Linked DNA regions of Arabidopsis thaliana. The protein of the gene in region 3 interacts with the protein of the main gene of each other region in a pairwise test. Each region holds a gene or a part of one and is shown on either strand. Other genes may lie near its edges.

The links. Proteins that work in one complex are often made in the same cells at the same time.
Region 1: the proteins of SK42 (region 3) and AT4G03600 interact in a protein complementation assay, tested with the Arabidopsis thaliana proteins (one large-scale study listed by BioGRID).
Region 2: the proteins of SK42 (region 3) and AT5G27370 interact in a protein complementation assay, tested with the Arabidopsis thaliana proteins (one large-scale study listed by BioGRID).

What each region holds. Positions count from the first base shown.
Region 1 is NC_003075.7:1,603,138-1,607,120, forward strand, and holds AT4G03600 (pyrroline-5-carboxylate reductase), read right to left. Parts: upstream 1,492-3,983; 5' UTR 1,172-1,491; coding exon 683-1,171; 3' UTR 501-682; downstream 1-500. Other genes in the region: AT4G03610 (Metallo-hydrolase/oxidoreductase superfamily protein), read left to right, coding at 1,902-2,068, 2,353-2,494, 2,598-2,728, 2,826-2,967, 3,056-3,161, 3,260-3,324, 3,405-3,440, 3,535-3,644 and 1 more; AT4G03620 (myosin heavy chain-like protein), read right to left, coding at 3,903-3,983.
Region 2 is NC_003076.8:9,664,711-9,668,386, reverse strand, and holds AT5G27370 (inactive Serine/Threonine-kinase, putative (DUF679)), read right to left. Parts: upstream 1,077-3,676; coding exon 501-1,076; downstream 1-500. Other genes in the region: GSH2 (glutathione synthetase 2), read left to right, coding at 53-176. UniProt on the Arabidopsis thaliana protein: Involved in membrane remodeling.
Region 3 is NC_003070.9:21,429,969-21,438,661, forward strand, and holds SK42 (shaggy-like kinase 42), read right to left. Parts: upstream 6,136-8,693; 5' UTR 5,909-6,135; coding exon of another isoform or gene 5,869-5,908; exon of another isoform or gene 5,545-5,868; coding exon of another isoform or gene 5,459-5,544; exon of another isoform or gene 5,402-5,458; 5' UTR 5,285-5,401; intron 5,005-5,284; exon of another isoform or gene 5,001-5,004; 5' UTR 4,910-5,000; coding exon 4,769-4,909; intron 4,641-4,768; coding exon 4,548-4,640; intron 4,463-4,547; coding exon 4,403-4,462; intron 4,329-4,402; coding exon 4,056-4,328; intron 3,685-4,055; coding exon 3,610-3,684; intron 3,040-3,609; coding exon 2,983-3,039; intron 2,904-2,982; coding exon 2,763-2,903; intron 2,672-2,762; coding exon 2,621-2,671; intron 2,439-2,620; coding exon 2,343-2,438; intron 1,876-2,342; coding exon 1,792-1,875; intron 1,678-1,791; coding exon 1,575-1,677; intron 1,479-1,574; coding exon 1,394-1,478; coding exon of another isoform or gene 1,390-1,393; exon of another isoform or gene 1,243-1,389; coding exon 1,170-1,242; 3' UTR 1,083-1,169; downstream 1-1,082. Other genes in the region: AT1G57860 (Translation protein SH3-like family protein), read right to left, coding at 66-323, 623-859; AT1G57906 (F-box protein), read left to right, coding at 5,459-5,544, 5,869-5,908, 6,282-6,842; PUP17 (purine permease 17), read right to left, coding at 7,634-8,693. UniProt on the Arabidopsis thaliana protein: May mediate extracellular signals to regulate transcription in differentiating cells.

The DNA.
Region 1 (3,983 bases), on a different chromosome or scaffold from region 3:
ACAATATATGTTCCAAAGACAAAAAGATTCACGCATTTTCATGATTTTAGAGTTCTTAGAATTTTTTGTTATAAAAGGTTTGCAGACATTAATTTTTTTCCCCAAATTAGAGTTTTTAGTTGAGGTATTAGAATTCTTTTTATCAAGAAAGGTACTTATAAAAATAAGTATCAGTGTGTGAAATCCACTACTTCAATGTTGGAATGTTACACCTTCCTCAAGAAGGAATTTGAGTAAGAAAGAAGTTGTGTAACCCATTATTATATGATCTTATCTTCGCAAAACATGCCTCTTCAACTAGTTGATGTAGTTTTAAGCTACTAAAATAATAACCGGGTAACTTAAATAGTGAAAACTGATAACAAACTTAATAGGATATGTAAATCACTTGGTTATTGGTCCATGTGTTGAAATTGTGTGGCAATGAACCCACAAACGGATAACAAATCATGATTTTCAATATCTCAAATGAGAAGTTGTGGGACGATCCATTCTAGATACTAAATGCTGTCATCAAGAAAAATTATCTAACCACAAACAAAAAAAATTGAGCCAATGCATCATGAACTTCTTCATTCTACTACTAACAATTGATTTTCTAAATTAACTTTACATTTACATTCGGGAGTGACTCAAGATAATCTAGATCAAAATTCCCTAAATAATCTAAAAATCAAGAACCTTAATATGAGTCAAAATCTCTTCTAATAAGCAGAAAATAAGCTAAAACAGCACAAAAAGCAGCAACAACATTGCCTTCTTTCAAAAGAACCTTAAACACAAATCCGACAACTTCTCTCGTAATCTTCCTTCCTTCAACCACTAAAACTCTTCTTGATTTCCCAAAGAAGGCAAGCAACACCACCACCGATATCCAAATCACCATCACCGCCGGAACCGCCACCGTCATAGCAGCCACCATCGACATAGCTCCAAACATCGCACCGAGCACCACCGACGCGTATACCGCCGGTAATCTTGAAGGAGAATAATCTGAATTTGATGACGTGTATTGAAGCTTGTACCAGTTAAGAACTGATCTCAGGAGGTTCCATGAAGAAGATACGAGAATTGCGTAGACAGCGATGAAGAGACAAACCCATGTCCGTCTTTTACTCATGATTGTGATGAAGATATGATACGATCTTGGAGATTCTGTTTGATCTGCCATTAGAGATTGGAAGTTCTTGCTTATCGATCGAATCTGTTTTGAGATTTGTCTGCGACTGAGCAAAATAAAATAGAGCAGTTTATGAGAATCCTTACACTCAGTCGTAGCGCGTGTCGTGTACGCTTCTTTGTGAATTTGTTTTTGAGCTGGCAATCGCGTGGTTATGGTTCACACGCGCTTTAATATATTTTTTTTTGTGAAATATGAAAAACATTTGGTCGAATTTGTGAGATAATGAAATGGTAATTGGAAAGATTGTGACTGCATTGTTTTTAATAATTAAGTAAATTTAAATTCTGTGGAAGTATATTTAATCAATAAACTGGAAAAACAAAAGAAAAGATTTCGTTACCATAACGATTTAAATTTAAGATTTTGTTATACAGAAAAAGAAATGTAGAAGATTTTTTTCTAATTTAGAGGAGTCAAACAATGATATATAACAAAAAAAATCACAATCCGGTGGATTTGTGGGGTAAGTCATTAATCTTTTACTATTTTGTTTGGAAAAATTAGTAGTCAATATCATTATGACTACATATATCAGTGTCAAAGACTCAAAGTAATGGCTTAGATATTTTATGTTAATAAAAGGAATATATATACTGTGAAAAAGACAAGTTTGTGTAAGGGATCGCATATAATCTCAACTAATACAATAAACAAAGATATAGCCGTTGGCATTAATCAGCTTTGGCTAGACCAACCAGAAGATCAGAATCTTGAGAAGATGGAGAAGAATCAATCTGATGATGATGGAACGGCTCTGATCTTTCTTGGAACAGGCTGCTCCGGTGCAGTTCCCGATTTCAGATGCTTACTCCAGCCGTCAGATCCTCCTTGCCATGTCTGTTCTCAGTCCCTCTCTTTACTTCCTCACCTTAACCCTAACTACAGGTAAATCTTGTCATCAGTTTCTTCTCTTTGGGTTTTGGTCTTTGAAGCTGTGGAGATTTGTGAAATGTCAAATCTTGTTGCTTTCCGTAAAGACCCTTTTGAAGTTGGGAGTTTTGATTGAAAAAAGAGACATCTACTGTTGTCTATATTCGTGTTGGAGTTTAGGTTTTAATCCATTTTAGGTAAAAATGAACCATCCGATTTCTAGTGTTCTTGGGAAATTATTTCAGATATATTAGGGTTTGGTGAACATTCTTGAATCTTGATTCTCTGTTTTTTGGCAGATGCAATACATCGCTCTTGATTGATTATTGCAGCAAGGAAGAAGATGGTAGACATAAGTACATACTTATTGATGTTGGCAAGAGTTTTAGAGAGCAAGTCCTTCGTTGGTTTACCTTTTATAAGATTCCTCGAGTCGATTCCGTTAAGCCCTTTATATACTTATCTTCTTGATCTCTTGCATCTATTTTTTTCTCTGAAATGAAATCTAACTTTTACTGACTAATGCTTGTATGATTTTGTGTAGATCATTCTAACTCATGAGCACGCAGATGCGGTTCATGGCTTAGATGAAATTCGATCTCTTCAACCTCGTGGTGCAACTATTGTTGATACCGATCCACTTCCCGTCTTTCTATCTCAATTTACAATGGAGAGGTACCATCTTCGATTAGTGTTCTCTATCTCAACTCTGGCTTAAAGCTTTTCAAATTAGCATTTGATGAGACTTTTAAGGCAACAAAAAATTGTGCAGTATTGCTACAAGGTTTCCTTATTTGGTTGAAAAGAAGGTAAAAGAAGTACCTAGACGAGTTTCACTTCTTGACTGGAAAAACATCGAAGAGAATTGTGACGAACCATTCGCTGCCTCGGGCTTATCTTTCACGCCTCTTCCGGTTAAATTTCTTTTCACTTTTGAGAAATCAAAACAGTCTAATTCTTCCATGAGACCTTATAGACTCAACAATGTTAGTTATGCTTTAGGTGATGCATGGAGAGGACTACATTGCTTTAGGTTTCCTCTTCGGCGATAAAAGTAAAGTGGCTTATATATCAGACGTATCACGGATTCCACCGAGTACCGAGTATGGTAAGAGCTCATTATGTTATGCCCTAATCATTATACCTCTGTAGTTCACTTCTACTAAAGAGAAAGATTGATATTCTTATGAATCTTTGATTAAGCAGCTATTTCCAAAGCTGGGGCTGGACAGTTAGATCTTCTTATCCTGGATACAAATATACCGTGGAAGGTTCACATCATCTCATAACTTTTGTTTACCGCTTTTTCGATCTTGATAACCTTTCTTGCTGACCATCTCTTTGATAATAGAGAGGACCACATCCCACACACATCTGTTTTACAGAGGTTTGTTTCAATGGTTCTCTTTTTTTTCTTCCCAAAGAATGCTTCACTTCTCTAAACCTTTTTGAGAGTAAGTTTCAATATTCCTATTCTTTAGGCTCTTGAGATCTTAAAGAGGCTATGTCCAAAGAGAGCGCTTTTAACGGGTATGACACACGAGTTTGATCACCATGAATACAATGAGATACTTGCAGAATGGTCTCTAAGGTATGCAATGAAACAATGTTATAAGATTTCTATAAATCAACATCGTTGAATGCTAATAGAGACTATGTTGATTTCTAGGGAAGGAATCCATGTACAGCTTGCTCATGACGGATTACGGCTTCCAATAGACCTATGAGCAAATTACTAAAGACAAATCTTAGAATTCTTGTTACCTATCAAGAATACAAATGACAAAAATTTCCAAAATTATATGAGTAGAATCTATATTTTGATACAGTAATGAAAATCTCTGTTTCTTTACTTGTTCTGGGAATGATTCAAAATCTTTAAACCAAGCCCTTGAAACAACTTCTCTAAATTTGAAATCTCATTCTCAAT
Region 2 (3,676 bases), on a different chromosome or scaffold from region 3:
TAATTCTCAACTTAATTTTGTGCCATAATCTTTGATTAAATGAAATATGTAGGAGCAAAGACGAAGTTATAGTAAACGAGCAGAGTGGTTATCTAATGCGCACGAAGATCGCATCATCAGATGAAGGCGGCGTTGCAGCTGGTTTTGGAGTCTTGGACAGCATATATCTGATTTGAGATGGATAACATTCACAACCATCTTGATCAGTTTTTCTTCTGGTTTATTCCTTCTTCTTCTCTTCTTGCTTGTTAAAGATTTGTGTATTAATCATGAAGATCAATAAGACTAGGCAAAGCTCTTTACAATTCTTTCCACAGGACCGCAAAGCCTACATTGCTTATTGTTATTTTTAGACCGTGTGAGATGATTACTCGTTTATAAAGATCATGAATTGAATAAGATAAGATCAATCATGGAATTTGGGGTATAAAGATTATTACCATAGCAACATATTTAGACCATAGGCACATATATGTACATACACAAATAAATGTTATGAATCAACGAATGTCTGAAATTCCGATGCCTCTCCGTTTTGAGGGAAAGATAGCAAAGAAGAAGCTTGCCATTGTCAACACCATAACAGCAAAGTACTTGATCATAAGTACAAAATGACCACCCCAACTGTTTTCATCGTCCTCCGGGAGCAAACACCTCCGAAAATCCGAGCTCTCTACGGCTAACGCTAAGAACACGATAACCGACACGAAAGCATGCACGAAATCTACAAAACTGAGCTTATATCTCTCTCTCTTATCAGCCGTTAAGCCGGACTCTGGATCATAACCTTCGTCTGGATAGTCGTTGAGGATGTGGAGACCGTTAGAGGTGGCAATTCCGTAGTAAATGCGGCCATCTTGGCCTACATATGAGTCGGTGAAGGAGGAGAAGAAGCAAGCCGCGGCGCAAAAGGAGATGAGAGTAATGGTGAGGAGTTTATTGACGGGTTTGTTGTTGCACTCGCCGCCATTGGAGAAAGACGGTAGTAGGGTTTCGAATATGAGGGCGGTCCCGGTCGGCAATAGGTTGGCGAAGTTTCCGGCAGACGGTAGCGATCTAATGAACGACGCCTCCATTTCGTAATTTGATCGGAAGTGAGGAAAGTTTGTATGTTATGTGGAGAAAGAGTGTTTTGTATGTTCTTCTATACGTAATGCATGCATGCGTGAGGATATGTTTGATGCGTCTTTATATACATTTCTTAAAGATGTCGAGTTTTATTTGGTGTCCGAATATGTAATATATATTTAGTTTTGTTACTATATATTTCCACATTTTGTCAAAAGAAAATAAAGAACTATAGATATACACATTTGGATAACCCTTTTTTGTTAGAAGTTAGTTTATATATTGGAACTTAGTTTGTGGTTTATAACTTTGGCTAGTCGTTAATGAAATTATGGTGCATCAAGATATTAAGTGGAGGTACGCTCTTATTTCGTGTTTAGATCTTAAAGTGTCAAAATACTTTTATGAAAGTGCTATTTTTTACAAAATTCGATTCGTTATTTTTGCATGGCCATAAACAAGTTGGGACACGATTTTTTTACGTGTTCACACACACATGCATTATTTGATTAATCAAATCTGCCAGGGAAAGAAAAAACAAATCTTAGGAAAAAAAAAACATAATATTTGAGCTAAAACGTAAATAATTGGAGATGTGCATGTTCTATGAAATTGAGTCCATTAAGCGATATCTTGCACGGTTGTACCTAACTCATTTTGGTGACTCGGTCTTACAAAAATACGTCAATTTTTATAACACAAAATACATGTAACGTCTAATGGTCTTTCATTTAAAATATATATCTTGTATTCTTGTTTTATATAAATAATATGACGAAATGAAAATATGTATGAAAATGTAAGATGTTACTAACCTTGCACACATAAAGATCGAACCGTTTCTCATTAAGCGAACCGTAAAATTTTCATCTGATGAAATTTCATGAAGATCCTTTACAAAAAAAAAAAAAAAAAAATCCAGTTGCGAGATGCATCTATACTATTAATTGGAAATCATTGAAAATAAACAACCTTATGAAGGGTAAAATATTACATAGAATGCCATTGATTGTTAGTGTTTTTAAATAAATTTATTAAGAATACAATAGTAATCACAAAATTAATATATTTAAATATAAAAATTGGTAATATTCTTTTAAGTAATTATTAGTTTCCCAAAATTAAACTCACTTTCTCTTTCCTATTAATTATAGACGAAAAAATAAAATATATTTCTTAAAATTTGTTAACCAATAAAAATTGAAAAACTTAGATTTGATATCAAATTATACAATATTATTAAACTAACATTTTGGAAGTTAAGTTTTATTTTAAAATTTTAAAAAATCATAAGACTTGCTTGATATCATGAATAAAAAAATCATAATTTGTGATAGATAAATAAATTCAATTTAGAATTTTGGGTTAAGTATTTTGAAATATAAAACGAAAATTTATTTTAAAATTTTTAAAAACGAGATAAGATGTTACAAATATTAATATTTACTATGAATTAAACTAAAATAATTAATTTAAAATAATTATCATTATGCCTTACATTTAGAAATATCTAAACAATAAATTTTACATACTAATTTTGAAATATTTTGGATTTTCTTTTTTCTATTTTTCAACCGGATCTTTTTTCAAATAAATCTATAATATATTAGTGCACAAACTTTTGAAATAATATAAACTAATTATACATTTTTCATTCAGAACAAATTATCCAGCAAAATAAATTGCTTTTGTAGGGGTATTTCAAAATTTTAATTATATTCCAAAAATCCAATTAATTATGATTAAACAAGGGAAAGAAGAATATTAAACATGTAGGTAAGGAAATAAACATTATTACATTTGTTAAAATATAAATTTTTACAAAATTATTTGTTATAATGCTATTCATATTTTTGAATTTGAAAAAAAATCAAGAAAGAGTATTTTTGTGTTTTAATTTATGATATATTTGTAAACTTTAACATCCTATATGTTAATCCGCAAAACTCAGTCATATATAACATGATATTTAAAGGTAAGCAAATAAGAATTTTGGAACGTATTTTCAATGGAATGAAATGAAAATAGGAATTATGAGACACAAACGACATGAAAAGAAACGGAAGCACTATATAAAGAAATTTGAAACCAAACTGGACATCAAATTAAATATCCAACTGGTATGAGTTTGGGTTATGAGCACTATATAAAATAAATTAACCCTGCATGTACGTATTTTGTGACACAAATTCTATTTGTGATGGGCGTTGGTAGTATTTTTATTTCACATATACAGACGGGTTATGGAACGAAGAATTTATGATAGATACATCACATTATGGGTTTTCCGTTCCAAGAAATATACGTCAAATATACGTTTTAATTTTCTAAACTAATCAAAACATTATAACAGTTTGATTACTGGTGTAAAATAGGATATAAATTTGGTTTTAGTTTGGGTTATTTCCCCGTGTGAGTCCAGATTTTAAAATATAATTATACACGAACACAATTGAATTTTGGTTGTTATTCTTACCTTTATAATATCTATACTATTACAAAGTTTACTTATAACAAAATATTATATATATTTTAAAAATCTATTACTTTTTTTCATATTTTGCACGTATATGCGAGTTCTGATATCTAATACATTATACTATAATAT
Region 3 (8,693 bases):
AAAACATAATTAAAAAAGCAAGTGCAAAAATTCTGAGTAGAGAATGATAATAAAATGGAAACAACTCAATAACCACCCTTGAGATCGTTGACAACATCGTAAGGAATGGGAGTGACAGTCTCCAATGTCATACCTTCAACCATGAAACCCGGTTTAGGACCTTTAGGCTGTCTCTTGGTGCTGATAGTCTCACCTCTGGCTTTAGCATCAGCCTTAAGCACATCGTTCTGTTTCTTTCTGAGTTTAAACTCCTCAGCACACCTTGACTGTTGCACATGCTCCACACGCACATGTATCCTCTTCCTTATGATTCTGTTCCCAATCTAAAACCCAACCCAACACACCAACTTAGCTCTCCAACAGATTACACTAATCATAAACACAAGAAATGAAAAGAGAAGCTTTCACAACATCAAAACATATAATAATAGTAAACGAACGACCCAATAAGAAAAGCTTGAAACTTTCGAGCCAACACTAATCCAACATCTCAGAATTCAAAACAGATAGCTCACAGAAAGACGAATTAAACCCCAAATGAAAGAATCAAAATCAATTTCAAACCCTAATTTCAACAACAAAAAACTCTTTCAAACAGATTAAAAGTTTTGAGTAATCAAACCTGTTTGTTGACTTCAACACCAACGGCACGTTTAGTGACATTCCAGATGCGACCAGTACGACCATGGTAGAACTTATGAGGCATACCCTTGTGGATAGCTCCATTAACCTTGACATCGACGTAATCGCCGACCTTGAAGGTTCTGAGGTAAGTGGAGAGTGGAATATAACCCTTCTTCCTGAATGGTCTCGCGAACAGATCTCTTGTTCTCGCCCTCACTCCGTGTCCCGCCGGCATTTTTCCTCCTCTCTCACTTCTGTCTCTGACGAAACCCTAAAAATGGGAGAGAGAGGTGAAACTAGTTTAAAAGGCTTTTTGTGTACATGGTCTTATTGGGCCTTCAATATTTAAGCCTTATTTTGTAAAACAAATGCCTTATTTGAAATTAACTCGAAGATAAATTGGTTTGGTGTAATTCGAGTAATATGGTTCAAATCAAGTTCGTAAACATGGACAAATAAACTAAACTGTCAATTCATTTTAAGGTTCACAAATTTTTTGGAAAATTGTGTTGTGGCAGGAGTCTTGCAAATGTAAGTATGTTCCTCTATATCATATATCTAACAAAGTAGTGTTGTATTTTACGCATCCTCACTTCACGACAAGGGATGCGCAAGCACCTTAATACAAAAGTCATTGCTTCTTTTTCCAGTGATTTCTGTTTACAGAGAGAGAGCTCTACTGGTTTTTCCCAAAGACTGGGATCTAGAGAGCTTAGAGAAAAGAAGAGAACACCCGATAGGTCGTACAGAAAACACGGAAGAGACTTACGAGTGTAATGCCATGAAGTGGTTCTGCTTACGGGCATGTTCTGGGACAAGTCGGTCCACAGTTTCAGGAGGGATACCAGAGAGTTCTGTAGGACACACGCTTATCAATAACACATACTAATTTTCTTCCCTTATAAAGAATTTAACACGGAAAAAAGAAGAAGCAAATAACAGAACCTTACCTTGTGGTTTAAAATTGAATAGCGGAGGAAGTGGCCGGCCGTTTGGCAGACGAGCATTTGGGTCTCTTAGCTCATCAAAGAAAGGGTGGATACAAGCTTCCACCTATCAGAAAATCATAAGACATACTTATAATGGGTTAGCTTCTGATGCTGATCCCAAAAAAAATATGGAAGTAGAATATGTAACAAAGTCAGAGAAAAGCTATGAATAATTTACCGCTGTACATCTCAAATTAGGAGAATACTGGAAGAACCTACAAAGAAGATCTACTGCTTCAGGTGGCAGACGTTTCTGGAATACCTGAAAGTAACAAACACATGATTCTTGTGCTGTAAGAACATGACTATATAGAAGTAAAACCAAGGAAATGATCACTTAAGAGAAATTTTAGCACGGAGCAAAACAAAAGATAAGAATAACGAGTAACAGAGTTCTGGAATGTCAGCTGTATAAAATGCTGAATAAAACTTCATCTAGATAGAAACTTAAACCAGCAAAAAAGCCAAGATCATGAAGCCTAACTGTTTTCAACCCCCACGAGTGTGTGCATGAGTAATTCCTTTTGGCAAAGGTTCAATTTATTTGTTTGTATAAGAATCTTATATACAAAGGCAAAGCTGTCACATCGCTCTATATGCCAGAGGAATGAAATATGAAGTTAATTGATCACATATACTTCAATCAACCTCACTAAACCGAGACAAGCTTGGTCATATATCGATTAAGAGAACCCTATTAGGTGATAATTGATACTACTAGCGGTATACCTTGTGCCAAGGATGAGGTTTTATCTGAGGAAATTTAAATTCTGTGTAGTTTGGATTCATGCATTTGATCTCCTCCCTTGTTGGTGTACCCAAAACCTGCATGACAATTAAAAAACCATGAAGAGAGAATGTACGAGTCCTACTACAAAAATGGTGGTAAAGTTTTATAAAAAAAATATAATCAGCAGTGAGAAACTATTAGTCAGTGCCAGCTCTAAAGATGTCATTTTCTTTGTAAATACAACTAACCCTAAAAGAATTGATAGCAAAAATACTACCTTTATGATTTCAACAAGTTGATCGACTCCACTTTCGCCAGGAAACAGAGGCTGTAAAACAAGTCCGCGAGAGCAAAAATGAGTAAGAGGGTGAAGAAATAGAATAACAAGCATATAGCTAATGCAAATATAGTGCTCCAACCTGTCCAAGCAGCAGTTCAGCCATCACACAACCTGTGGACCATATGTCTATTGCAGTTGTGTACTCGGTGGCTCCAAAAATGAGCTCTGGGGCACGATAGTATCTTGAACAAATGTAAGAAATATTGGGTTCTCCTTTCACCTGTGGACCATGACACGTCATAATCTAAGCATGGACTAGGAAAACTAAACCACTAAGAGCTATAGCTGATAAACTTTACCAACACTTTTGCACTCCCAAAATCACAAATTTTCAGCTGATGTGTGTGTGGATTCACCTGCACATCACAATAGGTGTAAAGAAAAAAATAAAAGATTGTTTAATAAAAACAAGGCAACATTTGTTTATGACAAATTCTAGTCAATTGCAGGTATGGTGAGCCTAACAGCTGAAACAGTATGGAACAAGTTCAATCCTTGTGAAATCACAAGAAAATAGGATTCTAAATATTTAAACCAACGAACAGACCAGCTAAAAACCAAAACTATTTTCCGAAAAGTTAGATTTTAACATCCTACTTGAACAAATAGCAAGTGAAATTAACTACAGAACAGAAGCCCAGTACCACTCTGAGGTTGAAATAAACATTAGCGAGATGCATACATAACCTCATTGCTTAATCCCACCAGGCATGTAATAACGAAATATCATCATGTCATTACTATATAATGATCAAATTTGTAGAATTAAAGAACACTGTCTGATATTTATGTACACAAATGCCTTTAAAATCCTTATGTGTGGTGACAAAGACCTTGCTATATAAAAAAAATTCAAACAAAAGTAGCTTACAGGAAAGTGAAATCTATCATCAACTTCTTTTCAGTGAGAAAAAATTGGAACTTACTAGCAGGTTTTGGGGCTTTATATCACGGTGACAAAGACCACAGCAATTATGAAGGTAAGCAAGCCCCCTGCAAATCTGTAGCCATTAACATAAAATCCTCAAAAATCATTGGAGAATGTCCAACAAATTATCAGGCCCGATTCACACTTAAGTGTTCAACAAACGTTTGAGCACTACTTCTTTTATATAGAGACAATCAATTATGTTCAATAGTTCCAACTTCTAACGGAAAAGTACAATAGTATCAGAAATGATAGGAACTTTGCCTTCTGGTTTACAATCTATCTAGCAAAACAAGAGGAAATCTCCAACATCCATTATGGAATGAACCACAAGAAACCAGCTGACACATATCAAGAAACTGAATATAGCTTAAATTTTGAGTGATTACTTATGACGCTTACATAAAGAGAAACAAAAAAAGATCAGAAACAGGAAATAATCACCTGGTAAGTGTAGAGTTTGACATATATCAATGGCATCAGCTGGTTCATTCTACTGTAGCTTCTGGCAGTACGATTGACAGTCTCGGGAACAAACTCAAGGACAAGATTTAGATAAACCTCTTCATTTTCTGTTCTTGAATAGAAGCTATGCTTTAAACAAACAACATTCGGATGGTCTAGCATCTGCATAATTTGTAATTCTCTGTTCTTGTAACGCTTGTCTTGTAGAACTTTTTTGATGGCAACAACCTCCCCAGTTTCTCTGCATTTAGCCTACCACAAGGAGACATAAAATGTTTGGGAATCTTAACCAATGGTAAAACAACAAGATAGACAATCTTACTCACTTGGAAAACCATTCCGAATGAACCAGTCCCGACTACGTGTTCTGCTATGTAACTGACTGTCTGTCAATCAAAATTAAAAACAGTTGTATAAGAATCAGTACGTCTCACTAACAATCTAGACACACAGTTTCTATGACCATCTAACCTGTCTTGATTGACCATTTCGTCCAGGGAGTGTAGTTGTGATCACATGGCCAGGTTCTGCACCAACTCCATCAATGATATCTGGTTCACTGTCCTGCAACATGGCAAAAACATCAAATTCAAGTAAACTACTTCATCAAATAGAGGGGCGCATGAGAAGGAAGATAAGCTAAAGAAGTTCACAAAGAAATAAAGACCTAAGAAAGGAGATGCAAAACTTACTCTCTCCTCATCAGCCTCTGTCTTGTCCCTTATCTTCATCTCAAGCATATCTCTGCTCAACCAATCAACTGAACTAGAAGTGTTCTTTGTATTTTTGGCAGATCTCGAACTGCCTACTCCATTTCCCAGATGAGATTCCATGGTGGTGGTTGTTCGGAAGATAACACGTACTAGTAATTGATAACACCATAAACCTTAGCAATTTGGTGTCCCATCCCATCAAAACACCAATCTTCCTAGTAGAATATTAAAATCGTTTTCATAAAGCAAAAACAGTATAAGCAATTACCAGAGTATATACCCACAGAATTTAGATCGTTGGAACATGCTAACAGAATACCAAAGTCACTGGTTTTTCCAAATATATTCAAAACAAAATATCTTAACACTTAAAGCAGATTTAAGAGAAAAGAGAAACATGCAAACTCACTTTCAGAAGTGACATAAAGTTAGCAAATCGACCATCCTATCACCTTCTCAGAATATATTCTACAAACCAAACATAACGCATAATACCTATATATTCATAGAACCACCGAGCACATTCTTATAGCTTGAACATCCACAAGCACTATGAGATAGAAATAACTGAGTGGTGTGGTCTCTAGCTGCTTATGTTCCCTTGATCAATCACTACAAAGAAGAAATATGGTGAATTGAAATGAAAGAGGAAACATATTAGCAGAAAATATGAACCATTTCTATGTGAACAATGAAATTAACAAGAGAATAATTGAGAAAACAAAAGAATCAAATCAGCTACCTAATTTTCTGAGGTCACAATAATTTCTTCCGAAGTTAATTATGATCAGATAGAAACACAGAAAAGTCAACAACTTGGTATTAAAATTTCATTGAAACTTTGAAATAGTGGGTGATAACACAACACTGATACTACTACAGAAGACTAGAATTGAAACCCAGAAGAAATTACGACAAAACCAGATCTAAATTCCACTAAAAGGGACAAAGCTTGTCCTTAAACTCAGTTTCTACAATTACAAAAAAAACCAGAAAAATCAGTAAAGCAGTTGTTACTGCAAGAACCTTAACTTCCTCCAAAATTACACAATTCAACCAATTCGAAGCGCTATCTTCAGGCTTGAAGCCGAAGATGATCGATTTACCTTGAACGGAAAAGTAAAAATCACGCATTTGATGATCTTCTTCTTTTTCTTCAATTTATACAAAATCGAGCTCAATTTTTCTGACGAGCGATCACCAATGGAGAGAAACTGATCAGTAGAGATTTTCTCTGTGGTTTTCTTTTGTAGATTTCTTACTCTTTTGAATCAGGAGAGTTTTTCAGAGATTTTCATTTTCTTTTGTAACATCTACTTTATTTAAATTCGTAAAAGGGAAATACAAACAATTAATTAACCAACCAATCAGAGATTTATAAAAGAATTAAAATATATATTTATTTTAAAATAAAATAAAAAAATTAATTGATAAGCTAAACCAAATCACATCTATTGTTAAACCGAAATGGTCCATTGCTTTTGGGTTTAAGAAAGTTGTTCTTGCGGGAGGAGATCGAGTTTTTGGAATAGGGTTTGATGGGAAGATTAGGTTTTGGAATGGAGAGATTTGGACTAGAATCAAAGATCAGATTGGTGAATTCTCTGATATTATTGTTCTCAAAGAGCTAATTTACGTGTTGGATACGAAAGGCATTGTTTGGTGGATTAGTATCGTTAGGTATGGAACTTCACTTACTAATGAATGTGGTGGAGACTTAAGCTTGGTTGCATGTTGTGGAGAGCTTTATATTGTTGATCGTCTTTTTAAAGAGAATGTCTTGAAAAGAAAAGCTGATTACTTGGACTTGGATGATAATGTTTATGTTGGTGTAGCTCCTCGGATTTCTAATGTGATACATGACGATTTTGGGAATGAAAAATGCAATGTGGACCAAGAGGTGGAAATAGAATGTCCCAAAATGGTTGGTTTCAATGTTTATAAGGTTGATGAGGAATTAGGGAAGTGGGTTGAAGTTAAGTCCTTGAGAGATAGTGCGGTTGTGATGGCGACTGATACTTGTTTCTCGGTTATGGCTCATGAGTACTATTGATGCGTACCGAATTCTATATACTTTGTCCATGAAAAGGAAGTAGAGGTTAAGGTGTTTAAGCTAGACGATGGTAGTACTTTGATGATGTTTGGTTCTGAGCAGAGTTGTTTCCAAATGTTTGTTCCTAGGTTTCTCTGAATCTTGTTTAGGCTAGAGCTACTTTCTTTATATTAAGGATATTGGAGGAGTGACAAGAAATGTGATAACATTATCTCTATCTCATACCATACTTTACCATTTCCGTTAAGCTCTATCGAAAACCTTTCTTCTCCAGCTAGTAATATGAAGAGTGCCACTTCTGTAACCGAAATGTGCATGGCCTATTGGTATATTTCTGGCTTTCATCGACGTAATAAACCACTTGCAGAGGAATGATCACCCATGGAAGATATACAAAACAAATAAGCATATAAAAGACTTCTTCTCATCAGCCTCTGGATTTGAGTTGCTTGGGGAAGACGTTTACGTTGCATTCTATATAGGAAAGGTACGAGCCTAAAGGCATAAGAGCTTGGTGCAGCTTATATCATCAAGTGGGATGTGGCTTTATTGGTGTCTCGATGCCCCATAGATGTTAACAATCAAGTCTACTTGAGAAATATATAGGGATTCACTCCTCTAGCAAAGTATTGTAACAAATAAATGCAAAACAGAGAAAAGAAAAAAATCAAACTAAACCAACTAATAAATAAATTACATAGTTTGATCCATATCTATACAACATATTTTGGACATTGACTTACAAGAATCAGAATAACAAGAACAGATTGACAAACACTTGACATGAGAAACTAAACTTCAACATTGTTCTCACTTTGGTTAAGTTCCGCCATCTTCTTCTTGTTTCTCTTGTGCAGAGTGTAGAAGTAAGATCCTAACGCCAAAACTGTTCCTATCAAAGCACCAATTCTAGGCCAACTAAACACATCATCCATAAAATCAAATGCCAAGACAACAAACAAAGCCACAAATGGTGAAGCACACATATGAACAACATCACCAAAAAGACCCGAAACATAATGCACCAAACCTATCATCCCGACCGCCCAAACCTGCCACGACAAAGCCAACCCGACCAAACTCAGAACGTAATACGTTTCCCCTTTCTTAAACCTCTTGCTATCGCCTTTCAGTTCCTTATACTCGTCACTCGCAAACAAGCCCACGAGACAAACAACCGAGGCGACAAAAGCGACACATATTTGCATCTCTAAGACCATTCTAAACACTTTCTCGTTACCATATCTCTTGGTCTTCACTTGGAGTTTCTCGAACCCGAGTTGGATTAAGCAAAGAGATAATGAGAAAGCAATTGTAGCAGAGAAAGCTAACCAAGCTTGGATGTTGTATCCGAATTCTTCGCCGTCATGAGGCTGTCCTCCAAAGTCAGGAGTACCGAGAACGTAAATCACAATAGTGAGTAATATCGATATGATGATCCATCTAGTAAACTTGAAACGGTTAATGATGGCTGTTAAAACAGCGGTAAATATCAACTGTGTTGTGGAAATCAATGAGAAGATGCCATAGTTTGAGACTAATTTCCCGAGTGCGAACAATTTGCTGTGAGCAGCAACAAGAACACCAAGAGATAAGTAAAGGAAGAAGAGACGCAAGGAGAGGAAACTAGTATTGTTGGTTTCAAGGTGTTGTTTTGGTTTAGGGAAAATGAAAAAGAGAGGGATGAGAATAGGAAACGCAGCGTTTTGGATCAGAGCTTGCGTCCATGTTCCTTTATATTGTAGATCTTGGTCATACTCTTCTCGACGGTCTTGCTTCATTTGGACATAGAAGAAGTTCAAGAGAAGCATGACGAGAGAATCTCCGAGTAAGACTAAGAAAAGACATAAA